Linked DNA regions of Danio rerio. The protein of the gene in region 3 interacts with the protein of the main gene of each other region in a pairwise test. Links are inferred from orthologs where the notes say so. Each region holds a gene or a part of one and is shown on either strand. Other genes may lie near its edges.

The links.
Region 1: the proteins of atxn1a (region 3) and rcn1 interact in binary tests that used the Homo sapiens proteins (3 or more experiments, as listed by UniProt). The link is inferred for Danio rerio from reciprocal best matches to the Homo sapiens genes ATXN1 and RCN1.
Region 2: the proteins of atxn1a (region 3) and eif4enif1 interact in binary tests that used the Homo sapiens proteins (3 or more experiments, as listed by UniProt). The link is inferred for Danio rerio from reciprocal best matches to the Homo sapiens genes ATXN1 and EIF4ENIF1.
Region 4: the proteins of atxn1a (region 3) and ccnk interact in binary tests that used the Homo sapiens proteins (3 or more experiments, as listed by UniProt). The link is inferred for Danio rerio from reciprocal best matches to the Homo sapiens genes ATXN1 and CCNK.
Region 5: the proteins of atxn1a (region 3) and tceanc interact in binary tests that used the Homo sapiens proteins (3 or more experiments, as listed by UniProt). The link is inferred for Danio rerio from reciprocal best matches to the Homo sapiens genes ATXN1 and TCEANC.
Region 6: the proteins of atxn1a (region 3) and kctd15a interact in binary tests that used the Homo sapiens proteins (3 or more experiments, as listed by UniProt). The link is inferred for Danio rerio from reciprocal best matches to the Homo sapiens genes ATXN1 and KCTD15.
Region 7: the proteins of atxn1a (region 3) and otx2b interact in binary tests that used the Homo sapiens proteins (3 or more experiments, as listed by UniProt). The link is inferred for Danio rerio from reciprocal best matches to the Homo sapiens genes ATXN1 and OTX2.

Annotation. Positions count from the first base shown.
Region 1 is NC_133182.1:15,827,326-15,831,923, reverse strand, and holds the start of rcn1 (reticulocalbin-1), read left to right. Parts: upstream 1-1,333; 5' UTR 1,334-1,527; coding exon 1,528-1,748; intron 1,749-4,598. UniProt on the Homo sapiens protein: May regulate calcium-dependent activities in the endoplasmic reticulum lumen or post-ER compartment.
Region 2 is NC_133181.1:43,485,587-43,489,685, reverse strand, and holds part of eif4enif1 (eukaryotic translation initiation factor 4E transporter), read right to left. Parts: intron 3,510-4,099; coding exon 3,382-3,509; intron 3,287-3,381; coding exon 3,012-3,286; intron 2,929-3,011; coding exon 2,730-2,928; intron 2,648-2,729; coding exon 2,490-2,647; intron 1,765-2,489; coding exon of another isoform or gene 1,626-1,764; intron 1-1,625. UniProt on the Homo sapiens protein: EIF4E-binding protein that regulates translation and stability of mRNAs in processing bodies (P-bodies). Plays a key role in P-bodies to coordinate the storage of translationally inactive mRNAs in the cytoplasm and prevent their degradation.
Region 3 is NC_133194.1:34,710,013-34,714,644, reverse strand, and holds the start of atxn1a (ataxin-1a), read right to left. Parts: upstream 3,198-4,632; 5' UTR 3,114-3,197; intron 1-3,113. UniProt on the Homo sapiens protein: Chromatin-binding factor that repress Notch signaling in the absence of Notch intracellular domain by acting as a CBF1 corepressor. Binds to the HEY promoter and might assist, along with NCOR2, RBPJ-mediated repression. Binds RNA in vitro.
Region 4 is NC_133195.1:5,223,710-5,228,373, forward strand, and holds the start of ccnk (cyclin-K), read left to right. Parts: upstream 1-1,407; 5' UTR 1,408-1,512; intron 1,513-2,209; exon of another isoform or gene 2,210-2,338; intron 2,339-2,455; 5' UTR 2,456-2,510; coding exon 2,511-2,710; intron 2,711-2,839; coding exon 2,840-2,921; intron 2,922-4,664. UniProt on the Homo sapiens protein: Regulatory subunit of cyclin-dependent kinases that mediates activation of target kinases.
Region 5 is NC_133176.1:39,099,876-39,103,868, forward strand, and holds tceanc (transcription elongation factor A N-terminal and central domain-containing protein), read left to right. Parts: upstream 1-1,527; 5' UTR 1,528-1,772; coding exon 1,773-2,978; 3' UTR 2,979-3,152; downstream 3,153-3,993.
Region 6 is NC_133200.1:21,631,188-21,635,956, reverse strand, and holds the start of kctd15a (BTB/POZ domain-containing protein kctd15-like), read left to right. Parts: upstream 1-1,657; 5' UTR 1,658-2,114; coding exon 2,115-2,126; exon of another isoform or gene 2,127-2,380; coding exon of another isoform or gene 2,381-2,392; intron 2,393-4,769. UniProt on the Homo sapiens protein: During embryonic development, it is involved in neural crest formation. Inhibits AP2 transcriptional activity by interaction with its activation domain.
Region 7 is NC_133192.1:49,233,390-49,238,070, reverse strand, and holds the start of otx2b (homeobox protein OTX2), read left to right. Parts: upstream 1-1,768; 5' UTR 1,769-1,896; intron 1,897-3,721; 5' UTR 3,722-3,856; coding exon 3,857-3,953; intron 3,954-4,580; coding exon 4,581-4,681. UniProt on the Homo sapiens protein: Transcription factor probably involved in the development of the brain and the sense organs. Can bind to the bicoid/BCD target sequence (BTS): 5'-TCTAATCCC-3'.

The DNA.
Region 1 (4,598 bases), on a different chromosome or scaffold from region 3:
TGTTGCCTTTCTATCAGGTGGAACCAGTCTGGCCATTCTCCTCTGACCTCTGGCATTAAAAAGGCATTTGCGCCCACAGAACTGCCCCTCACTGGATATTGTCTCTTTCTCAGACCATTCTCTGTAGACCCTAGAGATGGTTGTGCATGAAAATCCCAGTAGATCAGCAGTTTCTAAAATACATAGACCTGCCCGTCTGGCACTAACAACCATGCCATGTTCAAAGTGACTTAAATCAACTTTCTTCCCCATTCTGATGCTCGGGTTGAATGCAGCAGATTGTCTTGACCATGTCTACATGCCTAAATGCATTGAGCTGCTGCCATGTGATTGGCTGATTAGAAATTTGCGTTAAGCAGTTGAACAGGTGTACCTAATAAAGTGGCCTGTGAGTGTGGGCAAAGAGGATATATTCTTAAAGTTTGTTTCAGTAATTTCATGACTTTAAAATTTACTCAATATTTTTTAAGTGTAAAATAGTTCCACCAAAACAATTGAGTAGATCATAGAAATACTTAAAAATTCTCAGTATCGCTGGATTTATTAGAGTAACATGTTACTCTTTAACTTAATAAAATATTATTATGTCATTCAGAGATTTATTTGTTTAATTATAATTTCTTTACTTTTCTTAAGTTAAAACATGTTGTGTTGTCTATGAGTATAAACAAGTCTGAAAAGATAGTTAATTTTTCTAATAAAAAAATCATCAAAAACCTTCCCAGTGTTGAGTTGCAGGTTGAAGAGCATCCGCTGCATAAAACATATGCTGAATAAGTTGGCGGTTCATTCTGCGGTGGCAACCCCAGATTAATAAAGGGACTAAGCTGAAAAGAAAATGAATAAATGAATCACTGAAAACATTATTCATATATTATATATTATTTACGTTTTTAAGAAGTAGTTTTAGTTTAAAATGTAAAAGTAGTTTGTATTAATGCCATAACTATATTGTAATTTCGAGCATTTTTGCATAAAAATAACTATTTATCAAAGATTTCCACACTTTTATTCTACAGCTGTATGATGCAAATATGTCCATCTTTTAAATCTCTGGAAAATAACTCCCTAATAATAATACCACATAATTTTAGCTTTGGGCTTACATTCTAATACCATCATGTTGCATTCAGCCGCTATGGCATTCCTAAAATAAAATGCATCCAAGGCGCTTCTGCGTGTCATCTTGCAACGTGGCGTCCACGCCCATCTCGAGTTACAGACAGCCCCAAGCCCAATAGCAGAGCTTCTAACATTCCACTTTTCTTTGCTAGCCAGTCAATGATTGGCTGTCCGCTGACACGCATCCATTCGGTGTTTGGTTGTGGCGTTTAGTGATCCGCCGGGCATGTTTGAATCGAAAATGAAAAGATCCGACTTGTGTTCTGGAGACTGGGATTGTTTCGCTCCCAGTTGATAACAATTGAAAGGTGTTCTTCTGGCAGCTGCAGTTTCTTGTGATTTTGGCGATATATGATAACGCCTAACAGTTTTTGAGGTCCCTCTTTGAATTACGTCCTTTTAAAAATGGAGGTTTCGACCTATTTGTGGCTTTTGTCGCTCTGCACGAGTCTTGTGCAAGGAAAACCCACTCTCAGGAAAGAAAGAGTTCACCACGAGCCCGAACTGAGCAGACAAACACACGAAGACAACCAGAGTTATCAATACGACCACGAGGCCTTTCTGGGCAAAGAGGAGGCCACCACATTTGACCAGCTCACCCCGGAGGAAAGCAAAGCCAGATTAGGGTAAGATTTGAGGGTTTTTGTCACACAAAAACGTACCTTTACTTCAGCATTACCTCTGTATGTGGTTTAGAGACAGATACAACTGCTCAAAATGGCCAAAAAGACAAGTTAGTTTTATAATCTAGATTAAAACGTGTCTTATTATTGGAAATTAAGGATATGTATATTCACATACTGACTGAATTTTTATAGTTAAATCTAATGAAGTTTTCTTGTCATCAAGCAAACTGACTATAGTATTAAAGTTTTTATTACTTAAATTTAGTTGAAACCTGATTAGCATATTCAAACAAGTTAAATCAACATTACATTTACATTACATTACATTTTAAACAGTGTGTTGTTGTTTATAGTTTTTTTATTTGCTACTACTATATGTGATCATAGACAACAAAACCTTCTGAACAAGTCTTTTGTTGCACGGTTATATTTTTGGCAATAGATAAAAATACTTTATACTGGTCATGATTAGATTTCTCCTTATAGACCAAAAGTAAATCATTAGGATATTAAGTTAAGATCATGTTCCATGAAGACATTTTGCATTTTCTACATTAAAAATACATTTCTATACATCAAAAATTCATTTTAGATTAGTAATATGCATTGCTAATAACTTAATTTGTACAGGTTTTCACAGTATTTAGATTTTTTGAACTCTTAGTTTTCAGATTTCCATAGTTATATCTCGGCCAAATGTTGTCATTGTAACAAACCATCAGCAAAAGGTTATTTATTCACCTTTCAGAGAATTCATAAATGTTAATTTTTTTTTTTAAAATTGTCAATTATGACTGGTTTTGTGGTCCAAAGTCACATATACTATTTAAGAAAAACATGTACAGTAACGAATTAGTAAATATAAATACATGTAGTATAAAGTTATGTAAAGGAATGTATCAACAAATGTGAATACAAATACTCCAAATAAATCCAAAGAAAGTCTTTAGTTTATTTTTATGGATTTTCCTGTCTCATGACGATAAAATGCCCTCCAGTGTGGTGGTTGCCACACTGCCATGTCAACAGTATCTGGGTTATGGTGCCAACGTAACTCGTTGTCCAGCTCACCATGGGGTGAAATGGGCGTAAACATGAAGGCATTCCCCCAGATCTCCTCTCCTGGCTTTCTGAGTGGGAGGAGGGCTCACTGCACTTCACAACGTGGCATCAGGGATAAAAATAATTTGCTGTTGACAGCCTTGTAGTAACTTGAATTTCAGTTCCTGTCAAGAACATGTCTTTGGGTCGTATTTCAACTTAAATTGAAAGAAGAACCTGCTTAAAGGCAAGAAGAGGAAACTAGATTATATTTTTATTCACCAAGGAGAGTGAAATGAATTTTGGTTGTAAAATCTGATCAATTTTTATTAGAAATGTAATTATAGGGTGTGTTAATTATCTATATCTTTCTAGTGTGTGTGTATATTTATGATGTTTGTGCTGCTGATTATTAACTGTCAAACTAAAATTAAAAAATATATTTTTTTTTTTCTCTTGCAAACTGGATTGAAAATGCCCAGAGGTTTCCTTTAATGTTGTGAAAACAGTAAAAATAAAAGTTAAAATAATTGAGTAGATCATAGTAAGACTTTTTACAGTGTACAGCTATGGAAAAAATAAAGAATCTAATTATAAATTGCCAATTTATCTGGATTAATCAAAGTCAAAAAGTCAAAAGTTAAAATATTTATCTTTTTGTTCAATTTTAAACTTGATCCTCTTATTTTTACATTGCAGACCATCAAATCCTATAATGTTTGTAGGAATGATGCATATGTTTGGGAACACTTTAATTCATTAATACTATATTGTAATTAAATCAAGTCTAGTTAATTTGAGCTTTATTGTCATTCTGCTACATGTGTGGACATACAGAGGAACAAAATGTTGTTTCGTAGGACCACAGTGCTACATAAATTTATCATAAATACAAACACAACACTGGACATACGAGCTATTTTTAAAAACCTATGCATAACTAACATATACTAAGGGTGCAACGGATATCGGTTGATCCATAATCCTTACGGATCACAACCCACAGTTCATAATGCATGTGACTCGCGGATTAATAACTTTTTTTGAAATCGTAGGTTAATCCAACATTTACAGTATAACAATCACAGAGAAATCGGCTCCCATGTCTTTCAAATCATATGTATGTAAGCATTTTGGCCTCCTTGTAAAATATAATGATGACGGAAAAATTTGTTTGACCTAAATGCTTTCTTAGGCTATTAATTAAAGGTGTTTTCTGTAACTGTTTGTTTAGCCTGCATTAATTCATTCAGTTTAAGCTGCACAATAAAATGTTAAAAGATCGTTCAAACCCAAGAAACATGAATGATAGTGATTTGCAAATGTTTATTGATCCTTATAAGCGCTGCATTCAAATCTGCGTTTGATCGAGAGATTCAGTTTTACACTTTTTCAGTTCATTACAAACAATTAAATAACACAAAAGTTCTGGGAGAACAGTTAATAGTTCGGATATAAACACTGATGTTAATGGTAAAGATTAAAATCACTGTTTAATGAAACGTGACGCTGGTGAATTTTACAGTGTGTAGTAAATAGATGGCGACAAACAACCATCAAAATGATGTCACTGACTAGGTTTTTAAAAATGATCCACCTATAATGAAACATGAAATTTTATGTGTGAATTGTTGAATCATTAATTGAAGATACATATGATCTGTTGTAATGTTAGATTTCTATATTTAGCATTTTCAGCAACAGTAGCAAAGATAATTTTTCATATAGAATATTTTCTTTTTTCAGCTGGTTCTTTCCTGATTTTTTTATTTTTTTTATTAAAATTACAGGTTCCAAGTTATGTTTGTT
Region 2 (4,099 bases), on a different chromosome or scaffold from region 3:
ATAAACAGAATAGCAGTCCTTTGTGTAGAAAATAGGGATGCAACGATTGTAGATTTTGGTTAACCGATTATAGTCGGAGAAATAATCATGGTTTCATGGTTATCATGCTTTCATTCATTTTAAAGTCACCACTAGTTTAGAAAAATCACATGAAATTATTGCTACTCAGTAACCACATAATACAGCACAAAATAACATTAAAAACAAACAATAGTCCATTTCTCTATTTTTACACTGTATATAAATGATAGAATAATAAATAAATGAATTTAAAAAATGTATTTATCTAATGCAGGGCTTAACATTAACTTAAGGGAGCACCCATCAAAAACGAATGAGCACCACTGCAAATTACAGATTTATTGTATTTTAAAACAGCATCAATGCGGACTAACAACAACCAGAAACAACTAGCTTATTCTGTTATTGATATTTGTGCAATAATTTCAAATAAATGTACAATAATTATAAAATATTAATAATGATGACGACAATAATACTAACATTAAATAACATTATTATGCTACCTTGAATGAGAGTTATGTGCTATAAAAAGTCCTGCTGTTACTTTGAGAAAAAAAATCTATGGTTTGCATCAAACAAAAATGAAGCACTGCAGTAAGAAATATACATTTTGTACTATTGTTTTTATAAGCATGTCACTATAATAACCAGAAGGATAGGACAAAAGAAAGGAAGAAAAGTCTTACTTCTACTACTCTTTAAAAGCTTCGGTGTGTCATTTTAAATGCTCAGTCTTGTTTTCATTTTTCCGTGTTTGTGGAAAAAAGCAAGAGAGCCGGCCCAATATATGTGGCGCAGAGCAGCAAATCTCACGATGACCACCTGCACAGTACCGTTCTGTCATGAGTCGAAGTTTCAGTATAAACTTTGTATAGATCTTTGCCGAAGAAGCTCGACTTTACTAAGTTTGATTTTACATTTAGCATCCATTTGTGCTGAACACGCAGTGAATGCAACGCATCGAGATTCGGGCTATTAGACAGCCAATCCACTCCGAGTCTTTCTGCACTCTCTCTGTAAGCACTCGATTAATCTCCGCTGGTGGATCAATATTCACCACATTATTGCTCTCATTGACACCAATACTTGTAACTTTAAATGGGTTTGCAAACCTGTATACTTTTCATTGCTTCGTCCTTAAACTTCAGCCGTTCCCTCCATTGAAAATAATGAACTTTCACGAGCTTGCCTTAGTTAATAGCCTCAGTCATAATTAATTCAGTGTGCATGGTTATTAGTCTCAGTGTACAAACTAGCACACAGTTTGCATAACTTTGTTTAGTTGCTGCAGTTTTGTTCTGTGCAGAAACGCGGTGTTGAGAAGCCTTTACGATTAAATAACCATGACGAATTAAAGCGCGGTTAATAGTGAAACCGGTTATTGCATCTCTAGCAGAAAAATGGGCATTTAGATGACTAGGTAGAACAGTTGGTTAAAAAGCCTAAAGGAATTATTAACATTTAACAAAAATATTTAGTTAAAATGCTAAATGGGGAGTTTAAATAGGAAAACAGAGGGTATCAGTAACAGTTCTAAGCTCAATATCAGTCAAAACCTACAACCAGAGCTAGGTGAAGAGACTGGAGTAGAAAAGATTTACCTGCCAATCTCTCCAACTCCTCATGTGGTGTGGACCGTAGACTGCTGGAGCGGCTGCCAGAGGGACTTCTGTTACTGGAGAACCAGCGGCTAAAACGGCTGGCCATGACTGGACCATCAGCAAGAACATCTTCAATCATCTGGAGGAGGAAAAAAAAGAAACCAATTGTTTAAACGGTTACAGCATAGAAGCAGGAAACGGCCTTGGGGAGTGAGTGACACTTACGTGAAGAGTGTCTGCAGACTGCTTAGCACAATGGGGTGAAAATGGGCATTGTGGAGAATTGGTTCAATTACAAGAATCCCACTTAAATTCCAAATAGCAAGTCTAATTTTGTACAGTCAAGATGTGCATCCCCAAAGTTTCAACAGAGTTATTACAATCCTTATAGAGTCAGATGGGCATAAATTTGCATTTCATTGAGCTTTCAGTAGAACAAAACTTAACAAATAGCTTGATGCCATACAACCATAAAACCAACAATTTCACATTTCTAACAGCAATGTCATCATCATTTGAACCATTCTGCAATCATCAGTACATAAAGTACTATTGTTACATCAATTCATTTAGTGGGCGCTTCAAAAGATTTATAATCCATTACAAAGAATCACATTAGAACATAAGCCAGAAAGAGACACTACTGAAGAGATGTAAAAAATAAGAGAACCTTGAATAGTAGAGAGTCCTGTTATAGGACAGGGACTGAGAAGAGTGATTAAAAGTCCCCAGAAAGCACCTAATAACCTCAAACGTCTCTCAACCTTAGGTGTGATTTGCTGTGTACTGCTTCTCCCTTTAAAGACAACCCAGATATTCTGTGCCAATCACCCATAGAAACATGCAGTGCTCCCCATATCTTACCGAAGCCAGACCAGGCATGGTCTTTTCAAGATTGAAGAACTCATTGAAGTCAAAATCTCCAGGGGTTTGCTCAGGAAGCTCAGCATGTGGAACCTCTTGATCAGCTCCTGACTCCCGAACTACTTCAGGGCCGTCTGAAAGTCCACCATTGCATTCAACTATAGAAAAAAAGAGATTGAATAAATACAAGCCCACCGATGATCGCACTTTTGTTTGAGACCCGTTTCCTACAGCACATGCCTTCTTTAACGGACTCTGGCCTCTTCTTGGAACGTTTGGTCCTCCGTTTGTCATCCTCCAAGATTTTGTCATCAAAGCCAATGAGCTCAATGGTCTCAGACTGACTAGTGGGTCCACCAGAGAACCACTCTGGCTCCTCTTCTGCATACGAGTCATTTCTTCTCCTCTCACTGAACACTCTTTTGTCTCCAAAATCTCTCTGTAGAAGGCAAACAACATTGTCACTGTGCAAACACTACAGGAAATAGATAAGAACCTCTGCATCAATTTCTAGCACAATACCCTAAATCGCTTATCCTTGAAGTCACGCTCTCGGTCTCGCTCCCTCTCTTTGTCAACCCGTGCATCCCTTTCAAAAACGCGTGATGCCATGATGCGGCCACTGCCGATGCGTCGTGCTCCCCCCAAACGGAGAGACTCATTTTCTTTGTTCTCCAGAGGGCTGGTGGGTCGGCGAGGGAGGGCGGTTTGTGCAACTTGACAGCCACCACCAAAACTACGACGTTGCGGACTTAGAACCACCTCTAGATCATCATCTTTTACACGTTCCCTGGGATCTGAGGAAGAGAAAGATCATTTAAGATAAACATCCTCCAGCAAACGGGTTTTAATGGCACCTTATTTGATTTGATGAAGCTATTTGTTCAATTACCTGCAATTCTTCGTTTAAGTGGCACCCTATCGTCTACATAGTCTTTCTTGTAACCTTCTGTAGGACAACTGGACTCTGAAGAGGGATATAGTGAAGCATGCCATTTTTCAGGATCCCAGACGCCATCGCTATGAAGGAGACAGTACAGTTAATGCATAAAATTATAAAATAATATACAAGCCTCAGATAATTTAAAAGCCATTCTAAGATGTCAAAATATAAGCCACGTTTTAACAATACTTAGTAAAGTCAAAAGACAAATGACTACAGTAAGTGAATTCTTTTCAATTAATTGAGAGGAGCAGTTTGTTATGTGCTCCAGAACCACTGGTAAGATTAGGATAACACTAGGGGTCCATTCTTCATACCTTGCTTAAATGATCCAAGATGATTTGGCAGATCCTGAATCTTTTAATCTTGATATCTGATCTTTGGCTAATTTGGATCAAACAAGTTTGCGATTCAGATCAAAATATCTGCATAAACTGATCTGAGATCACTGCATGTATCAATCCTTGAAATCATGATCAGCAATACAACGACTGGCTGATGGCACAGCAGCATAATGACATCATCTGATTAATATTTAACTTTGGCTTTTTTTGTGGGCTGCAGGCTTTTCACATTCATGTGTCAAAAGCATTAGGCAATTTATTTAGCTATACATTTAAAACAGATTTTCTTTATTATAGTAGCCTAGGCCTATTCAAGTTTATTA
Region 3 (4,632 bases):
AAGGATGAGTAAATGATGGCAGAACTTTAATTTTTGAGTGAACTATCCCTTTAGTATCCCTGTAGACGTCCTCTGACTGGATCACACAAATAGGGAAGTAAAAAAGCTTAGTTAGCAGTGTTGTGGGTGACACATTACAAGTAATGCAAGTTACTTCATTATATTACTCTATTATTAATAAACATTATTATCAGGGATGCACTGATCGATCTACCGGAGATCAGTATAGAAAGATAATCACAGTTCATGACTTGATCGTACTCTCATAAACTGATCCCAAGTGTTTGTGTACGAATTTACACAAAGAGCATGTGGCACATGCACTCATCAGCAGTGCTACAACACATGAAGCAGTGAATGATGTGTGTGGGCATGAGTGATCTCTGCGCTCCCAACACAGCAGCTGTCCTGGGGTTTTTCTGCTGCTATCAATAGTTGGAGATGAGCAAAATACTAGAATGGCCTTGCAAATACACTTGTATCTAGGCCTTTTTGAGGTGAACTGAAAGTTTTGTGTTTTTGACTATTGCAAGTTCACTAAAACCTGGCTCTAAATATCAGGGGGAAAAAAAGTAAAACTTATTAAAACTTTTTTACTTTAATATATTTAATAATATAACTTGTAATATTCTTGTTGCAATAAACAGTAGTTTATAGGCCTATTTTCTTTTAGGAAAGACGTAATGGATTTAGAGTATAGGTCTGCAATTGAACTTCTTATGCATCAAATATGCGCTCCAAACTTTTTCTTCATGTTGATTTTCTTTCATCATTTGGAATGTTTTCAAAAAATATTATTATCTGTTTTATCTGTAATTTTCTGTAAAGCTTCTTCAATCATGTTTAAGGGATATATCCAACATGCTAAAGGAGAGATCTCCACTTTATCATATATGTATATATATATATATATATATATATATATATATATATATATATATATATATATATATATATATATATATATATATATATATATATATATATATATATATATAAAAGTAATGTAAAGCTTAAACCATCAGAATCGGTACTCTGTATCGGCCAATCACCATGACACACAATCAGAACTCAACATTGGCTGCAAAAATCCTGATCAGAGCATCCCTTATTATTATTACATCTTGTAAGTATTACTTATTATTAGGTCCACACAGAATCTACGTGCTCAGAAGTTGGCAAATTTCCGTAGATTTTTAACCCATCGAGTCTATTCCTTGTGCAAATGTGGTTAAACTTATACTTTTTAAATGAATTTCAGTAACATTATAAACAAATGTAAAAAGTTTATTTACAATACAGTTTGTAAAGTAATATGTTGCCTTTTGGTAGATATATTAAATGAGAGACTTGCCAATTAAGTGGATCCTATTAGATTTGCATTGTTAAAATTAAATGTTATTGGAGGTATTATTTTTATTTCATATATTAAGTTTTTTTAGTTACGATACTCCCAAAATCATTCCGCATAAATCTGCAGATTTTTTACTAAATCTTGCGCAAAAATAGCTAAAAATGTAAAGTGAGTAAATTTTTTGTTTAATTATTTAGGTTTTACAAAATAAATTGCAGAACTAATATGAACATGCAGTATACCCATGTTGAATAACGCTCCCACTGAGATAATTCACTTCCCATGGGAACAGACAGAATAATAAAAAAAGTTCTAAAAGAGATCAAACCTCAGCTACCAACAAAAAAGTAACCTAGACCTTCTATAAAAAGTAACCAAGTAACGCAACTAGTTACTTTTTTGGGGAAGTAACTTAATACTGTAATGCATTATCAGCAGCAGGGTGGATTACTGTAATGGCCTCCTCACTGGCTTTCCCAAAAAGACAGTCAGATGGTTACAGCTCATCCAGAACACTGCGGCCAGGATTCTGACCAGAAGCCGGAAATCAGAGCACATCACACCTGTCCTCAGGTCTTTACATTGGCTCCCAGTTACATTCAGAATAGATTTAAAAGTTTTATTACTTGTCTATAAATCACTAAATGGCCTAGGAGCTCAATACATTACAGATATGCTTTATGAATACAAACCTAACAGATCACTCAGATCTTGAGGATCATATAAACTAGAAATTCCAAGAGTTCAGTCAAAGCAGGGTGAATCAGCTTCGAGAAATGATCAGATGTGTTCCAACATTAGGCACGTTCACATCAAGACCGAAAACACATTTGTTTAGCTGTGCCTTTACTGAATAAGCACTGTGCTACGTCCAACAGATCGCATTTTTTTCTGTTTTTCTCTTCTTTTTCATTCTTTTATGACACATTTGATCGTTTTTTCTGTTTTTATTATTTGTTTTTATTTTCCTGTACTTGTTTCTTTTATTCATGTTTATGCAAAGCACTTTGAATTGCCACTGTGTATGAAATGTGCTATATTAATAAACTTGCCTTGCATTACTTTCAAAATTAACTTTACCCAATACTGTTAGTTTTCTTGTCTTCTACACAAGAATTTGAGGATTTCTAAATACTTTAAGAGTGACTATCCTGTCAAACAAGCAAATAACATCTTTTAAAATGGGTCCAGAAAACCCACAGCACTAACCTGAAGTACAGTTGCTAAGGATAAGTGTTGTGAGTGAGTATCGGGCCTGCTCTCTATGGATGGGTTATTGATCTGCGTAAAGAGGGCAAGTCAGGCCTTTCCCTGCGGGCCCTGCTGCTGTTTACACTTACTGCCCTAATGATGAACCACAGCTTCTCCAGCCCACATCCACATGCCAGATCACACACACACACACACACACACACACACCGCCTGCCTGCCAAAAATACACGCAGCTTTATTCACCATGAAAATGAGGGATACGGCATGTTTAACATTTCACTTTCTCCGAATGCCGACAGACCGAGTTGTCTGTACCTGTTTTCGCACCACACCCAAGCAAACTGAGACTATATCTGACTGTCAAATCCACGCACACACACAAACACACGGCGAGCTCAGCACTCCTTCCCCTGGCATGTCAGATGTTCATCTGTATATCAGCCACGCACTTTATGCCAGTCATCTCCGCCTGCAAGCACAGTCACGCTCGGCAGGCGTCTTGTCAAGTTGTATTCACTATGATGGAAGGACGTGTTGATTCCCATACCTTATTCCTCGCTCTATGTTCGCAGCCGCAGCTGTCTCCAAGTTGCAGAGAGTTTGGGATTGTCAGAGAATCAAGAACGTGTGCAAACTGAGGGTAATGGAAGTGGGTTATTTATTCCTGTACAGGTTTTATCAAGGCGTCTGCCCTCTACTGGCCACAAGGGGAGAAAGAGAGAGAGAGAGAGTGAGAGAGAGAGAGAGAGAGTTGGGGGGGGGGGGGGGGGGGGGTGGTGTTGGAAGACATTTGTACTGAAGCAAGGTAGCTATAATAAAAAAAAGTCCATTTCGTTTACTCTAGTCTACATGCTAAAGTTTAGTAAAATGTGAAAGGTGTGGAAAATATATACGTTTTGCATCAATATATAATTCTTAAAATATATTCAATTGTTTTAATAGCAAGCTTTCAAATTACAAATATAAATTTATTTTAATATTTAGATTTTGCAAGACAAAAAAATTATTATCATTAAATGATTTTTTCATTTTCTACATTTTTAAAAATGTAAACTTTCCATTTTACATTTATTTGCATATAACAAATATGTGAATAATACAAAATAATAATTCAAGTATTAATTTCAACAATACATATTTTTACGGTTAAAAATAAAGTATTAGTTATTTACTTTTACTATTAGTTTTATGGTGAAATATAAATTCATAAATATCAGTTTTTGGGAGTTATATCACAAAACTTTGATTTGGCAGATAAACATTTCAGTTAAATATTGAGATTTTTATTATATCTATATTATTAATTATAATATAAATATTTTTATTGTAATATACATTTTATTTATTTATATTTAATTTATTAAAGTTTTATTTATACCATTATTATTTTTAATTTTAATCTGAATTGTATAATTACTGTAAGATATCTGTTTAAAAGATGATTGACCCACATTGATTCATTCATTTTCTTTTCAGCTACCCCAGTTATTAATCTGGGGTAGCCACAGTGGAATGAACCACCAATTTATATAGCATCTGTTTTACGCAGAGGATGCTCTTCCAACTGCAACCCATCAATGGGAAACACCCACACACTTCCATTCACACACACATATACTATGCCCATGCAAAGACGGGGTGAACATGCAAACTCCACACAGAAATGCCAACTGACCCAACCAAGGCTCGAACCAGCGACCTTCTTGCTGTAAGGCGAGAGTGCTACCTACTGCACTACCGTGCTGCCCACGACACACATTATTCTGTGTAATACAAAATTGAGTAGGTCTACTTTAATAAATGTTCAGTCAGATTTATTGTTAACCTAAAGCAATGGTCTCATTGTCTAATTGGCTAAATTGTCCATATGTATGTGTGTGAATAGGTGTTTGTGGATGTTTCTCAGTGAAGGGTTGTGGCTGGAAGGGCATCGGCTGCGTAAAAACATATGCTGGATAAGTTGGTGGTTTATTCCTCTGTGGCGACCCCAGATTAATAAAGGGACTAAGCCAAAGAGAAAATGATTGATGAATAAACAAAGAAACATATTTTGAAAAAAATTTGAA
Region 4 (4,664 bases), on a different chromosome or scaffold from region 3:
TCGGGGGTTGTTTGTTCCCTGCCTAGGGCTCAAAGGTCGCCTCGCCCCAGGGAGTGCACGAGAAAACCGGGCGCCAGGCCGTGCCAGTATTCACTGGATGTTGCTCGGCGGCACATTTCGAGCAACAAACACGTAATATTCCTTGCGATGTTGCGTTTATGTACCGAGTGAAGCTTCAGGAAGCGGACTTCGTGAGATTGGCGTGGCTCCACTCGCAAAGTCGGTATTGAACTCACCTTGGTCAAGTTCAAACAGCAACACTGAGCGAACTGACAAGGCTGACAGAGAGCACACGAGCTTTATAGGAATGCATATGCAAATTTTTACAAGGCACGTAAAAACTGCTGTTGCGTTGTCATGGCGAACGCTGAAGAGGGCTCATCTGATTGGAGCACACAGACTCGTGAATCTGCGTCACGGCGAATTGCCGTCTGCAGTACACAAAAATATATTAAATATATTCAATATATATTTTTTTACATTTCTGGTGCTGTGTAATATTCTGGGATGCAGTAGAATATGGAGACAGATGAATATAATTGGCTATATGCCGAGCAAGTGTTGTTCCCATATACTTATAAACTTCCGGTGACCGGTTAGTGTGAGTTTTTTCCATTTTATACGGTTCCTTTTACAGCATTCATGTTGTAATGTAATTAAAATACATTCAGTTAAATAAACTTTGGCATTCATTTAGTTGTTCAAGCGTAAAACGAGACAAAAGGCCTTTTACTCGCACTCGCCCGTCAGAATCGGCAGGATAGCGCAGACGCTCCATTGAATATACTGGGTTAAATATATGCTCATATTATAAAGACATGGCGGGGAAAATGTCATTTAATGCAGTGCTTCTAGTACAATCCGAGACCCACTTCATATCGGAAATCACTCAGCCAGTGGAGATCGCTGATTTTTAAAGAAAACTGACCTTAAAAACGTGCAGCTTTTTCCTTTGGCATACAGTTCGCCGGAAGCGCTTAACCCAGGTTACTGGCAAATTAAAAGTCCCATTAGCATGCTTCCAGAATGTCTTTCGAAAAAGAGTACGGGTTTAACCCCGGCATCCTGGCCAAATTTATCCACTGGCCTCTGTCCATCATGGCCCTTGGGTTGACTTTTCCGATTTCATTAAAAAATTCTTATTTCCAAACTTCTGTATTTCCCCAAAAAATGTATTATTTGGTCACTCTCTGAGTGTAGATCTTTCTCATTTTAAATCAATTATTGATTTTTTGCTTTTTTTAAAAACAAAATTTCACATCCATAAATGTAAATTTTCAAAGAAACACCCGTACTTTTTTATTTTCAGAAAGGACTTTGAAATGTATGTTCTCCAGGCCTGCAGATGTCGCTTCAGGTGGTTTGAACGACGCACGAGCGCTGCTTTGAAGTACAGAGGAAGACGTGCTGTAAATGGCTGCCTCCATGTCGTGAATGTGAGACCGACAACGATTAACGTTTTATTCGTCTCCCCAGTTTACTAAGGACATAAACGTGCCATATATCGCAAAGGTAAGACTATTTTATAGTTACTTATTGTTTATAATTCGAAGGATGAGTAATTACTCGGTTTGAAACCGATCGCTTTGAAATCGCTTCCCTCTCAGTTTATTAATGTCATCGTAAATTGATGAATGAAGGATCAAACAGCTCCATTTAAATTAACAGCATATTTACTGGAGAACACGGTTATATTAGTCACGTGATGTTATGAGTGGTCTGGGATGTATGATATATTTGGTATTTAATTGTCTGTGTTCTCTCACGAAGCAAATGATTGACATGTTTGAACTTTCAATAGATTATATAACTTATTTTTTTGCAAATTTAAGAAACGTGTGCCTTAATCATGCTGATGCACAAATTACGACATTTTATCTTATTTATTGTGAATTCCCAAACAATACCCATTGAACTATAACTGAATGCGATAATAATATAACTGAGCTATTTCAAATCTGTCAAAATTCACCCCAAATTAAACAAGACGCTTAGAATAAATAAACCCTATTTGTAGCATTATTTTCGTTTTTATAGCTGTAATTAATCCAGAAGAAAAGTTTTTGACATAATATATATGTGTGTATTGTGTATACATGCATGCATATCTTTGAGTAATCATATATAGTTCATCAAAAAATGAAAATTCTGTCTTCATTTACTCGCCCTTCACGTGTTACAAACCTGTTTGGATTTCTTAATTCCGTTCGACAGAAAAAGAGATATTTTGAAAAATGTTGTAAGCCGGTAACCATTGACCTCCATAGTATTTGTTTTCCCTGTTATGAAGGTCAATGGTTACCAGTTTTCAGCTTTCTTCTGAACCATCTTTTTTGTTTAACAGAATTACGAAAGAAACTCATAAAAGTGAGAGTAGAGTCCCAAATTTCAACATCGTTTGGCAAAATTCACCCAGTGCACTTTTAAGAAGTAACCAACTAGCTGTTGTTTTTAGCCTTTTGCAGTTCAGACTGATTTGCGGTTTGGCATCAGCCGTCACTTCCTTCCAAATGAAGGACGGCAAGGAGAACTCCAACGCCACCTTCGGAAGCTTCACCACAAATCTGGACCACACCAAGCCATGCTGGTACTGGGACAAGAAGGATCTGGCCCACACCCCGTCCCAGTCAGACCTGGACCCAGCCACAGAAGCGCGGTACAGACGAGAGGGAGCCAGGTTCATCTTCGATGTCGGAACACGTTTGGGATTGTATCCTTCAATGCTGCTATTTGTAGACTGATCTAAAGATGTTGTGTGTTTATTTATTGATTTAGACTGAATAAGGCTGAAGTTTAAATGGTGTGATGATTTCCATTTGGACCTTAACCATTTTTTAAGACATTATGACACCCTGGCGACAGGAATAACATACTTTCATCGGTTTTATATGTTTCATTCTTTCAAACAGTTCCCCCGATATGTAAGTACAAGCTGTTGTTGAAAGATATTTTTTTTTACTGTTTACATTTTTAAGGAATTGCTCACCCTCCTCTTGTTTCAGAGTTTTTTTCCTCTGTAAAACACAAAAGGAGATATTTAGAATAACATTGAAAACTGGTAACATTGACTGCCGTAGTATTTCTTTTGGTACCTACAATAGAAGTCTACCTTAAACTTCATTCATTCATTCATTTTCTTGTCGGCTTAGTCCCTTTATGATGCTGCGTTCACAACAGACGAGGTACGCGCGTCAAGCGTGACTGATTTACATGTTAAGTCAATGCAAACGCGCAAATAGACATCCTGCGGCGTGATACACGCGAATGGCGCGGAGCGAATGACACAAATAGCGCGAATGGCGCGGTGCGAATGGCGCGATACGCCCGAGGCGATTTGAGCGTTTTGCACATTTGACGCGCTTAACGAGCGTTTCGCGAGAATCTTTCGAGTTCGAAAATCTGAACTTCAGCGGACATTCGCGCAGCGTTAACCAATCAGGAGCTTGCTCTTGTGGGGGCGTGATTGTGACGTAGAACCTGTTGATGGTGTCCCAGGGGACATCCTCCAGGCGACAGCGACAGCGACAACAAGACATCAAACTGGGCTTGGCTCAGTCAGAAGCACCGCTGAAAGCCTCCGTGATCCAGGTTCAGTTTCTGGAGGAGTTTATGAGCTCACAGAGCAGGATGCACCTCTGAAAGGATGCAGTGGACTCAGACACGACCCTAAACGTATTGACGCTGTTTTTCAGTCTCCATAAAGCACATTAACACTGTTATTTTCTTAATAAAATCCATGTTAGCCATTTAGCTATGAAGCTAGAGTCACCGGGCAGACAGAAGCCCTGCCCATCACGCGAATCCGCGTCTGTTCTGAAGAGCATTAATCTGGGGTCGCCACAGCGGAACCACCAACTTATCCAGCAAGTTTTTATGCAGCGGATGCCCTTCCAGCCGCAACCCATCTCTGGGAAACATCCACACACACATTCACACACACTCATACACTACGGGCAGTTTAGCCTACCCAATTCACCTGTACTGCATGTCTTTGGACTGTGGGGGAAACCAGAGCACCCGGAGTAAACCCACACGAAGGCAGGGAGAACATGCAAACTCCACACAGAAACGCCAACTGAGCTGAGATTCGAACCAGCTACCCAGCGACCTTCTTGCTGTGAGGCGACAGCACTACCTACTGCGCCACTGCCTCGCCACCTTAAACTTCAGCCGTTTGCATTTCTCGCAATCACAGAAGCTCCCTGTGATATTAACTAGGTGCAGCTGGAAAAGTGCAAGCGTGTTGCTTCATGCGCGCAATGGAAAATGGCGGACGTGAAACGACAAACTAAGTATATGGTGACGCTCCAGTCGATCAATATTGGTGGGAGGGGGGACCGCACTCCTACATCAAGTCGGTCTGAAAACCGCTCCAATTGATCCACCGTTTTTATGTTGTTAAATTGAAAAAAAAAGGACTGTGTGTGTGTGTATATCACCCCAATATGACGGTATATAACACTACTTACACACATGTGTGTCCAAACAGCTTGAAAGGTAGATTTTTTTCACCATAGGTGCCCTTTAACAAGGGGGCGAAGTCGAAACAAATTTTTAGGTGAAACACAACAAACCCCTAAAATAACGACCTGTGTGAACGCCCCCAAAATGACATTTTTAACACATTATAATAAACAAATCTGAATTGTGTTCAAGACTTAACC
Region 5 (3,993 bases), on a different chromosome or scaffold from region 3:
AAATATGATATTTTATAGCTTCATATTAAAAATGTGAATTTAAAAGATAAATTTGTGAGGGGTGTATGCTGAGCACTTTATATTAAATAACTTGTTGACATTATTACAATTCTATATTCATAAAATTTAATTTTTGGTGGTATTTAAAGATGAATATGTGATAGCATATTGGTTTTAGAATTTGAGTACTTCATCTCCCCTGCTACTTTTTCAATTATTTATTTTGTTTGTTAACTTTTGTTATTTATTTATTTATTCATTCATTCATTTATTTATTTATTTATGGTGTATTGTTATTATTAATGTGAATGAAAAGATTGTGAATGAAAAGATTGTGAATGCAAATTGATTGTCATCTCAGTCTTTTTGTGTAAATTAAAAAAAAAAAAAGTATTAAAGCTTTTCTGTTATTGTTTAAGCATTGTTAATTAAAAAGAAAAAGAAAAAAGTATCTAGCAAGACAGGACATTCTTATTGAAATATTCCAGACTCTGTACAGAATATATCACTTGGGAGTTAAAGTATAAAGTATGAAATAGTGTGCGAGTTGGCAAAGAAAGCACTAAAGTATACTCTCTAAAATGTTAATGTCCCATTGGGCAAATCTGAAATGTAGGGTTTAATTAAAGTCAGTAAAAAAAAGATGGCGACAGACATGGACTCAGGAAGAAAGGGGAAGACAATTGTATCAAATAATGAGGTAAGTTGGGTATGACAGGTTTGTGACAAAAGAAGGGATGACAATCTCATGCCTCCGAATTGGGCTCACTGCATTAAACCAATCACTGTTTGAAATTGGCAAACACGATACAGGTATGTGGAGTATATGTGGAAATCCAAAATTAGTTGAGCGTGTTATTTTAATTGTCATAGTTATAATGAGGAAAGATCTCAGCTTATGGAGGAAATGAAGAATGCAGGAAGTTTAAATCTAACACTAAAGAAGTAATAAATTGAATAACTAAATAAATAAACGGGCAACTCGGTGGCGCAGCGGGTAGCACAGTCGCCTCCTTGCAAGAAGGTCACTGGTTTGAGTCCCAGTTCGAGTCCGTTGGCATTTCTGTGTGGAGTTTTCATGTATTTCCTGTGTTGGCGTGGGTTTCCTCCGAGTGCTTCAGTTTTGTCCCACAGAAAAAGACATGCACTTGGTGTATAAGCTATGAGGTGTATAGGTGCTGTATTAGCTGTGTAAAACATATATTGGATAAGTTGGCAGTTCATTCTGCTGTGTCAAGCCCAGATGAATAATAGGACTAAGCTGAAGGAAAATTAGTGAATGAATTAATAAATTTAATAACTAAAGATGTTAATTTAATAAAAACTAAAGTATACCTAAAGTATCTTAAAAGACATTGTTACTTAGACAAGTTTAATTTATGTATTTGATTAAATAGCTTACCATTTTCTTTTCCCCCCATTTCTTTGCTTTGGTCTATTTCTGTATTCCTTTCTATATCAACCCCTCACCCTCCTCCCCACTAGGTGGCGGAAATTCAGTAAAGCTGCCAAAGTTTGCAAGAAGAAGAAGAAGAACAACAACAACAACTGCATTGCGTTGATGAAATACATGGCTGTAGAAGTAGCGACTTTGTAAAAAATGTTTTACTGCTTAGTTAATAAAGAAGATACGTGTTTGTCTGCAATTCAGATAACGTTAGCGGACATATTTTTATTACGCTTGAAAACTAAGCTAACGCTTCGGATTCTTCAAGAACAGTATTTTCCAGGTGTAACGCTACTCCTTAATTTTCCTTAATTTCGAAGACGTCATGCATACTAGAGAGATCATATATTATGCTACACAAATCGAAAGGTTGCACGAGGACGGCAGTTATGAAGATGTTATATCATTACTGACTGAACTCGACATCACTTCTGTCACGTTAGAGCAGATTCAGACAACAGATATTGTAAAAGTTCTTTACAGACTGCTTAAGTCCTGTCCTGTTTTGAGTGCTAAAACAAAAGCAAAAAGCTTGCTGACAAAATGGAAGAAGTTGTACAATTTGTCACATGCAATATTACTCAAAAATAATGACAAAAACACACGGGAGGACAAGGAATTAGAGACGCCAAACAGAGAGTCAGAGACGCATAACATGTCTAATGTTGAGTTACCATTGGGATTTCCATTTTTAACCAATGGATTTCAGCCCTTACATGAAAAAGTGAACGAGAGTCAAGCATGTAACACAAAGCAGCTTGATATAACAAAGGATGCAAACCAGGGAAAATGTAATAATGTATGCTTTAATGCATCTTCTAAAAAACTTTGTATAGCAACTGAATCTGCAGAATCTCTCCAGCCACAGCTTGAGCAAGAGAGCCTCACTCCAGCCGTGGAATCAAATAGATCTGATGCAGAGGAAGGTGCTCAAACCTCAGTTCCTCAAAACACAAATCAGCACACAACTAACTGTGACTCTACAGCACTGAGATCCAAATGTGTCCATCTGATTCTTCAGGCTCTTGGCACAAACCAACAAACAGACCCAGGTCATATGAACAAGCTCAAAGCCCTTGCTGAGAACATTGAGTTGCATGTTCATGCTCTTCATGGACGAAACCAGCATAAGTTCAAGTTTCATATTAGGAGCAAGGTTGCCAACCTAAAGAACCCAAACAACCCCCACCTACGCCAAGGCCTTATTTCAGGACAACTGACTCCAGATGCATTTGCCCAGATGTCTGTAGAGGAAATGGCAGGTGAGAAACTTCGACAGCTCAGAGAAACTTACACTAATTTGGCCATCAGTGAGCATCAGTTGCCAGAAACAGTTGAAGGCACCCCTACCAATAAAGTTCGCTGCAGGCAATGTGACAGTATGGATTGCAGGGTGACTCAAATCTCACGAGGGACTCTTTTCTTGCCATCCTGGGTGCAGAGTGGCAGTGCAGATAATGATTCTATGACTTTTATGACCTGTGCTAATTGTGGAGAACAGTGGTACCACAGTAATTGGGTTTGCCTTTGAGCAAGTGCGTAAAGATAGCAACATTGTTCTGTATTATTTGATCTGTACTATTGAAGTTTTTGTTCACAATGATGTTAAGATTGTCAATTATGTAGTCTTCAATTTGGTGCAGTGAACCGTATAATGCGCATTCATGTCTGTTTTGGAAGAGATGAATACACCAAGAATAATAAATATAATCTCTAAAAACTGGTTTTAGATGCATGTAACCATTAAAAAGGTAATTAATGTCTGTTTTAATCTAAGTATCAGTATGGCTAGACACACTTTTTTATGTTGACTTTAGATGTTTTATTTGTCCTCCAAAAACTTATGTAAAGTATATATTTAGATTATTTTCCATAAGTCACTGTTAAGTCTGTAAATATGGAAACGAATAACTATTGAACTGCTGTAAACATACATTTATAATTTATTATTATAATACGTATTTACTGGTTTTTAAACTTTTTTTCTTAAACTCTTCTCACATCAAATTGTTTTGTACATTACACGTCATCTATTTGTTGCAGTTTTTTTTTTTTTTTTTTTTACTAAAACAAGCTTCCCACACTTTTAGAAGGTACTTAAAAACAAACAGGTCCTTAAGGTTTGTGAATTAAATTTTAAATGAAATTCGATTATGCTGTTATTTCCACAATTGTAAAAACAATTGTAAAAAAGAGGTAAATTCTTAATTAGTATCGAATTCGACAAATTTTATTAAAGTTTTTGAACATGGCTATTTAAAATAAAATTCTTCATTCAAAAAACTCATCATTATGCACACAGTATTATTGTTAATTTTAAGTGTAAGTGAACTGTTGAGTACAGTAAGAAGTTTCATGGTGGTGGCAGTTTTAAAAGTCGTTGAAAGTCCTTGAATCTGCTGTTAATGAAAGAGTGGGAACCCCTGTATAACTGTGATGTTCTGTAATGACAGTAATCACATTCATAAACATGAACATGCTACATTCGGATAACACAAAGGAAACAGCTCAAATTTGATCTTGTGTCTAAGCTTAGCAAATGTGAC
Region 6 (4,769 bases), on a different chromosome or scaffold from region 3:
CTGTATGAACATTTTCATAATCTGAAGAATCCATTATAACCTTTCCACACTGTAAAAATGCTGGGTTCCTCACAATCGATTTGTGTCGGGGCAACATAAGGGAACTGAGTTAATTTATTCTTTTTTAACAAATGTTAGTGGATTAAACATAAAACAATTAAGTTGTCCCAAAAACAAAACTCAAGAATTGAGCTCATTTTAAATTAATTGTTTGAACAAACAGCAAACATTATATTTTTTTTAAGTAAAGAATCTTGTAGAATAAAAAGGGCCCATATTAAATGTTCTTCATGAACATTAATGCTATATCTTTAATTTTAAAAAGTCAGTTTTAGGAACCGTTTTGTTATCACTAAAAAAACATATTTTTACTAGTTGTTCAAATTACTTTTTGAAATGAGCTTAATCAAAAATTCTTAAGCCTTTTTGGGACAATTTAATTGTTTTACGTAAAACTAACTTAAATTTGCAAAAACAATGATGTTAACTTATTCGACTTTTGTTGGGACAACAGGAAGGAATTGTGTGGAAGCCTGCATCTTTTTACAGTGTTTTCCCCTGTTTTTTACTTTTAACCATTATCCTGTTATACATTAACTCATTGCAAATTAAATAATAAACTAAATTTTAAAAAAGGCCAAAAAATAATAACGGTTGTGGTAGGTTTGGTCACTGGTTGGCGCCAGATGTCAAGGTAGAGAATAAACATTTCCAGAGGGACAACATTGCAAGTGTCAAATGTGTTGAAATATGAATTCTGGTGTCCTTGAAGCATTTATATGATATCAAACAAGAACAAGAACGCACATAAAAGCGACTTTTAGGTCATGAAACGTTTATTTAAATTATAGCCTATATAGTTCTCAAACTGAATTCGTGGAGGGCCGCACATCTGAAGTTTAGCTCCAACTCTAATTAAACACACCTGATCCAATTAATCAAGACTCTTTTGAACACATTGATTAATTGGATCAGGTGTGTTTTATTAGATTTGGAGCAAAACAGAGCTACGGCTCTCCAGGAATTCAGTTTGAGACCCATGATTTAAATGTGTAGTTATCTCATTTGACTTTAAATGTCCCACAAACATTAAAGCTTGTATTTTTTTATTTTTATTTTACTGTTTCTAAAACTGTTGTATTTTTTTAGCCTATTTCAATTTACCTTTTTCTAAGCGTCGACATAAACCTATATTCATACAGAACTCTGAATATATTCGTTGTGGAAATGCTGTAAACCCGTTTGTAGGCTGCGTTCACTTTGGTCACTGGTTGGCGCCAGATGTTAAGGCACAGGGCATTTCCAAGAGATGGAGAGTAGTATTAAAAGGGTCTAAAACTGTCAAATATGCTTTTTGTTAAAGCCTTTCCTTTTCAGCACAATGCGCCCGTCTTTCCACCTGAAATCTGTGTGCCATCGAGGCAGACATCTCTATCTAGCCGCGCGCAAAAATTGAAATGGCGCGTTTGGCCCGAGGCGGTTGTGTGGGCGCCTTTGCAGAGGCACAATGCATATCGATATACGTCATTTAGTTTTCATGGCCAGCAGAACATTATTAGGGCGCCGAGAGACACGTTTGGAAGCAAATTAATTCTTCCATTAAAATAGAAACATCAATCAAAAAAGACGTTCGTAGTTAGAAAATACAGTAGGCTATATTTTGTGGGTAAAGTGGTTTAATACAACAGCCTTCTTCTTTTTCCCACTGAAGGTTAGCCAAAGACATGCACACAGGTAAACCGTTATCCTCACACGCGCGCGCGCTCATCATATCTTTGTTCAGACGATGAATAAATAAATGACGATAAATGCGACGAAAAGACACACATACGCATCCTCCCAAATGCGAATAGCAAGATCAAATGTTGTTCTTGTAACTCGCCCCAGCTCAGGCAGGGTTGAGCTAATTGTAGCCTAATCCTGCCCCGGGGCGTTTGGAGAGCCTTGAGCAAGAATTCTTGTTCAGCTGTCCTCTGTTATTCGGGCTGGAACGCTGTGCCTTCAACGCACTCTCACGCTTCAACAAAAAAGGAGCAAGAAAGAAAAAAAGCGAGGCTAAGACACGCCACCATCGATCTCATGTTTTAAAGAGGGCTGAAGATACATTTACAGCTATGTCTTCCAAGGTAAGGACGCAGCCTTGACTGACTCCCCTGTGTAGCTTTTGTGGAAAGTGTCTATAGCAGTCTGTGTTTTAGGCGAGTTTTTAAAGCCACAGCGACCTATATAGCGCTGCGTTCGCACCGGCGTTAGATTTCCGCTGGATTCCGAACGGATTCTGTACGAAGAGCTCTTGGAGAAAATATTACCAAAAGTTCTTTCTAGAGGACGAGCAAGCTTCATCGGAGAATCCTCCTCAGATTGCGTCGGACATCCTAAAATGTTTGAAACGGTACGGTACAGATTCTGTCAAATTCTCGAGTCTTTTCTCTTTATTGCATTCGTTCTCAGTGTGTCGTGCTTTTGCAGTTTTAGATCAGGGAGGGCTGATTTGGGTATACAATGAGAGGTCAGAGCACTACTGTATGCCCATTGCGTACAGGAAGTGCGGTACATAGAGTTGTAGGGCTATTTTACGCACTCCTGAGACCTGGCGCAGTTATCATCAACTATTATTTCGGACTTTGATGAGATCTTACTTTGCACTCGCTCGTAGCGGCAGATTCCTTTTCACTACAAACATCAATAGTTAGCTTTTCAAGTCATGACATGATGTTCATACTATTGAAGCGTTATATATATATATATATATATATATATATATATATATATATATATATATATATATATATATATATATATATATATATATATATATATATATATATAACATTAGACATTACTCACTAAAAATGCAGTTCGTATTTTAGTCAGTTGTTGATTCAACCCTTTCTGAAAATGTCTGTTCATTGAATGAAGCATTTGGTGTTTGACTGATTCCAAGTTATGAGGCTTTTGAGTGACTCATTGAATGATTCGGCTCCCAGGAGTCGTTACTTCGTTTTTCTAAACTGCTACTGCTTTTGAAATATGGGTTTCTTATTACTGTGGCGCAGTATAGTCTTATAGGAACGAATGGATAAGGACAAATTAAAACATATAGCCTTGTAAAAGTTGTAAACAATTTTATAATTAATATAATGTCTTTAGCCGTGACTCTGAAGATTAATTGATGTTTTTTAGTAACAAAAATGTAAATTTTATATATTAATTCTATTATTCAATTTCACTTAAACTAACCATAATAACCTGCAGTTCATTGACTGAGATGTTGATTCAAACCGTTCTTGACAAATTCAGCGTTCATTCATTGAATAATTTGACACGTTGATTCTAAGTTATGAATCTTTTGTGTGATTCGTTAAAAGAATTGGCTCATAAGAGTTGTGCTACAGGCAACCTGTCAGGCTGTGTTTGATTTTTCGTAATTTATAAGAAATTTATTTGAAATGTTTATTTATTGGTAGACAATTTTTTAAGTTCAAATTGAAAATGATTTATTGCTCACACGTGGGATACAAAAAAATAAAAAATAAAACCTGATGTTTTAGATGCAATTGAAAATGTTTAGCTAATATTGTAGCTTATTATTAACGTAGTGTTCAAGTATTATTAATATTGATTTTTATGAACAAACTTTTCATTCAGTTAAGAATTCAACAGATTTGCGTGACTCATTAAAAAAACGACTCATAAGAGTCATTTGTTCATCATTGGAATGCATGGGCTTCATTTTGTTTGTCTTTTGGATCTTAACATTTGAAATTTGCATTCTTGAAATTGTTTCACAGTATTTTAATAACATTTTAATGACATTTGATAAAAATTATCCAACATTCATGTCTTTATACAAAATAAAATTAGCAGTTTTTTGGCTAATGTGAAAAGTGTGTCAGTTTTCTGGACACTGCTATTCAGGTCAGAAATCATTTGTTGACCAACAAATACGATGAATTCGACTTTTTAAGTGACTCATGATAAGAACCAGCTCAAATTAAGAGTCATTTGATTGTTATGATTGTTTGTTTTCACATAGAAGAAATTGAAAATCTATTTTTCCCATGTAATTATTTGGTGGTAGTCAGAATTTTAATCAAATATAATTCAAATGAATGAACACTAACATACTGAATACACATTTTGTCAGCTGTTATGCTGCGAGTCCATTTTTTCGTAAGTAAATCCTGTTTAGTTTCAAAATAAGTCTTTAAGATATCTTTATATTATTAAACTTATTAATTTCAGTAGCTTTAAATGCAACTATAGCTAAAACATGGATACATTTACATTATTTGGCCTTTCATAGATAAATCTAAAGGCTTAGACACAGTCCACAAGTCTTTGACGTACAACTATGGGCAGACTTTGCTCCAGGCATTGTGCTTCCAGAAATGGGACTTTAACCATCTGTTTAGGCAGGATTGTTCATTTCTCCAAACAAAAGGTTGATTCATGCCACAACAGCAGTCAAGCATGATGCTCACTCTCTAATTAAATGTAAAGTTTTTAAATGTTACATAGTAACTTTTTAACACCGTTAGATTGTAATACTTGGCCTTATGGGAAAACAAGTCTTATTTATCCTCGTTTTTGGTTTCAAAATGTTGATTCGCAGAAACTTTTACAGAAAGCTGTTGGAGAAGAGGTGTTTTGCGTCTCACATGTTCACCCAATATCTTTAATTAGGAGTTTACACTTTTCCCCCTCTCTTTCCCTGAAGGTAGACACCTACAGTACTAGGATCCATCCATCCCTCTCTCTCTCTCTCT
Region 7 (4,681 bases), on a different chromosome or scaffold from region 3:
AATTGTTCTATGAATACAGTTGTACTTTTTCCAGAAACACAATATAGATCGATTCTAGCTGGGGTGAATTTCTTCCCTCATTTTCAGTGAACAGACGGAAGCATTCAGCGTAAATAAGGGTCAAAGAAAAATAACTTTAACGCTAAATGACTAATTAAATCTAGCATCATAACACTTGTAAAATAACTGTTTAAATATTTTCCTGTTTAGTACCCTATAATAAACAATAATAATGAATAATACTAATTCTACAAATACTAATAATATATTTATTGGGCTATTATCATATTTTTATTGTTACTGTTGCTGTTAGCACTATTTTTCTTTAGTTTTGATATGTCTGTCATTTTGTAGAAATATACTGAATTACAGCAAAATACTCTAACCTTAACCTTTTAAAATGACCAACATTTTATTAAGAATATAAATAAAATAATAATAAATGGTAGTGTCTGAACTAAAAAAATTATTAGAATCTGATCATTTAAAAAAATTGGATTTTGAAATTAGAACAATACGAATCAAAAATGACAATAACAACATCAACAATATAATAATACTAATAATAATAATAATAATGATGATGAAATTTAAAAAATAATTAAAGTAGCAAATGTGTTGAAAATTTGTTTTGTAAATGGTCGCTTTAAGTTTAAACACAAGTGTAATACATTAAATGCAATAAAAGGAGCACGCGTTAAACAAAAATATTTGTGAATATGTTGCTCACCGTAGTTCATTTGTCCGTGCTTCTCGAGTCACCCGGGTGCTTGTCAGGTTCCCTACTTCTCAGGATATCTTAAATGTATAGTCTTAAAGCTGTTATGATAGAGTCGGCTTTCCTCCCACACAGAAGAATCCAGATAGACATTTCTCGAAGTGAATATTGGCAACGTGTTGTTTTGAACATTTTTCAAGGTACCAAATTCACCTCCTCGTTGCGCCACTCCACACTGGTTTCACGTGTATTCTACATGTCTTATAAAAGGCCCTAATCTAGCCCCATGGCTATGCGGTGCACTCATCTCTTGATACGTTTGGGTATATCAGCTTGAGCACTTGCAGTTTGAGCGTCATGTGGACGAGAGGACAGTTTTAAGGAATTAAGTCCCCGTAAATCCCTCCAGCTACGCAACACAAATGCAAGAGCTCTGCCTGCGTCCGTATTCAACATTTGTTTTCTCCGGATTTATCCCCGGTGTTATATTTGTGAAATAATTAAAGATTAAGTCTGCTGTTTTCTCTTGGGATTGGTAATTATGTCTGAGATTATATAAATAATACTGCTGTTGCCTATGCAACTTTTTTGGAGTGGTACGAATACAAACTTGCATTTATTTACCAGGGGTCACCGCATCTGCACATTCTACATCAAGCAAACAAAAAAAATTCAATTTTTAACGAAAGGAGTGTAAAAACTAAGAAATAGTTCTTCTTTCCACTTTAATCATAACGCTACGAGTTAATGTTACAACATAAACTGACATTGCTTGCACTGTGAGAGATGAGAATGCGCTCCGCCAGGGCCTCGCTCTCATTGGCTGGAGAGTTTGCATCAAAAAGTAGCTGTCGACATTTGTTTCCCTGCAAAGGGCCCTGCGAGAGAAACAGACTCCAGTCCTGAGCTCTTCATTGGCCAGCGCGCTGTACAAATCAGACTCCAGCAACTTCAACCCAGAAGAGCAGCGAATCATAACCGTATGTGCTTTAATCTCTCAAAACCATTTTATCCATTCTTCGTGTTTAGCAGTAGACGCTTCATCATAGCTCATTTGCTTCACGGTTTGAAGAAAAGGATATTATCCTGATGTTATGAATATTTTTCTAATAATTTAGAGCTGTATTCGCTATCGGACATCAAACTTTAACGGGCATCGGATTGAATCCAGTTATTCAGTAAGTATCCCGCCTTATGTTGTTGGGTATGTTTTCTTTATTACGCCTTAAACTTTGCGAATAGTAGACTATAACTATTTTTATTATTTTTATTGACACTATATAATCATCGTCACCATGATTAATTGGTGAATTAACCTTCTTTACAATCTAAGCATCTTTTTTTTATGGCTCAAACGTTTTTTAAGCTATTAAAAGATCGGCAAACGAGTCATTGTATATATTAATATAGGCCTAGTGTAAAAAAAAAGTCTATAATATCGACTTAATATCGATAGCTATTTACTGAGACATTTTGACTTGTAGATGCATGTTCATTTTAAACAATTTTAGTCCACGGCTATAACTGATTGATTTTATCGCTCATTTCATTCGTTTAGAGAATAATGAACGAACAAAATAGATAATTCAATATAGTTAGCCTATTTTATTTTTAATATCAATTATAAACGTCAAGCTATACAAAAACAGGCCGCATTTATATTGTCTTTACCTGCCGCTTGATTTATATTGTTCAAACACAAATGTGATATTTATAGTCTTAATGTCTTTTGTTTAATTTTAGCAGTTTATGTATCATGTCAGAGACACCGGTACCATTGAAGTGTATGAGAAAGCATGTGTGTGCGAGCGCGCACGCGTGTGTGATTTTTATTGTAGTCATGCACAGAATCAATGAGGCCAAACGTTCAGCTGAAGAGGTAGCGTCCAGTAATTAGGGGAGCGCGTGCCACACGGATTATCTCGTTAATTTATCAACAACAACATTTATCATAATTAATTCTTGGATGAGGTAATTACTATTGAGCGGCTGTGCAACTGGTAGACGGTGACTGTTTTAAGTGACAGATTGGGAGGCGAAACCGTTGGATAAAAAAAATAGATTTTTGCATAATAAGCCAGAAGTTTTTTTTATTTTATTTTTTTATAATAATTCCAACATTTATTCAGACTGGATTGTCTTTTGGGTGACGCTGAACTTATGTTCACCTAAAGTTTTGCTTGTTGACTCAATAACCTTTTTTAAGAAACTCAATTTTGTTAGTTTGATAGTTTTTTTTTCTTTAAATGTTATAACATCTAATAAGTTTTCGTTCAGTAAATTTGCTTTGGTGGTTATTATTACTATTACTATTATTATTCTAATACATTAATATCTAAAGTAATTACACCACATCAGCTAAACATCTACAGTTTATCAAGTTACAAAATGTTTGATGAAACACTGAAAAGATTAAAGTTGAGTCAATAATTTGACTCTTAGTTAAAACTAACAGAGTTAATTTCTGAAAACTACTAAAACATAATTATAAGTTTATTGTTCTGACTAATGTGAGCGAGTATATGAGGAGAGGTTACTTTTGTCCCTCTCCAATGGAGCTTTTGTTATCAGCATTAGTTATCAGGCTAACAGTGGCCTTTGTTTCCACCAATAGCTCCCAATCAGTGCTTGTATGCCTGAGACAATTAGCCGGGTTCCTATGCAAATTGTGTTTCTGGCTTGTGTGCACATTTGAACGACGGAGTTTTGTCTTTGTGAAAACTTGTTGCAATTAATGGATGTTACTTTTTTGGGTCTGGTGGGGAGAGGGGAGGAAGGGGAGGGACGGGGGGCGTTTGTCAAGATGAGCTGCGTTCATCTCATGAGGACAGCTGGAGGTCTGGAGCGGCTTTAAGAGCACGTTGCGGTGTAGATGTGCTCTATTCGCCGATAAGTCATCGCAGCTAAAGGAACCCAGTTTCCGTCAAATGACAAACGCCGAACATACAATTTGCGTCGCCGCAATTACGTGAACGTCTCTCTTTTATCTGTGTCATTTTTCAGGGTTTTTAGTTTTACCTCCACCGCTGAAGACGCAAACAAGCTAAAGCAGAAGTGCGCTAAGGAAAAGAGACCGAAGCAGCCGGTTTCCAGCTTTCCGAAATTTCTCCAACTTTACCCCCCACAACCATCTTTAGCATGATGTCGTATCTCAAGCAACCACCTTACACGGTCAACGGGCTAAGTTTAACTACCTCCGGGATGGATCTTCTGCACCCCTCCGTTGGATACCCAGGTGAGCAAAGCTTCCGATTTTAGCATTTTATGTATATTATGTCAATTGCAATGCAATTTGTATTCAACAGTAATGCTTTTTTAGATTCAGGTATATGTAGTAAGAATTTTGCTATATGTGCTTAAATGTATATACTAGGCCTGGTTGCTATCCTTGCTATAATCCCACATTTACACTTCCGAGGCTTCTTAAAATTAAAGTTATTATTAAACATAGTTGCTTGCACAATTATGAGACGGTTCTATTCTTTTCAAATAGAGTTTGAGTAAACTAATATATAATTTCAAATTGTAAAAACTGTAAACCTTAAAACACAGCAATTGGTAAATTAAAATTGTGTTTATTCTAATATATTTATTCTAAAAACATGCCTACACAGTTTTTATTTAAAGTGCAGCAACAAAAAGTAAAAGACTTAAAGAATATTTTGAATGAAACTTTCATTAAATAAAACAATTTTTAACATATTGTATGTACAATTCAACATTGTATAACATGTTGTACTGTGCCGATTCAGATATGTTAATGTGTAATATTTATAGTATTTTTTACATTTAATAATTAAATCTAAGCATGGACGTTTTTTATTAAATGACAACCTGTGATGCTTTTGTTTATTTAAAACAGCGACTCCTCGAAAGCAGAGACGAGAAAGGACAACATTTACTAGAGCGCAACTAGATGTGCTGGAGGCTTTATTCGCGAAAACACGCTACCCGGATATTTTC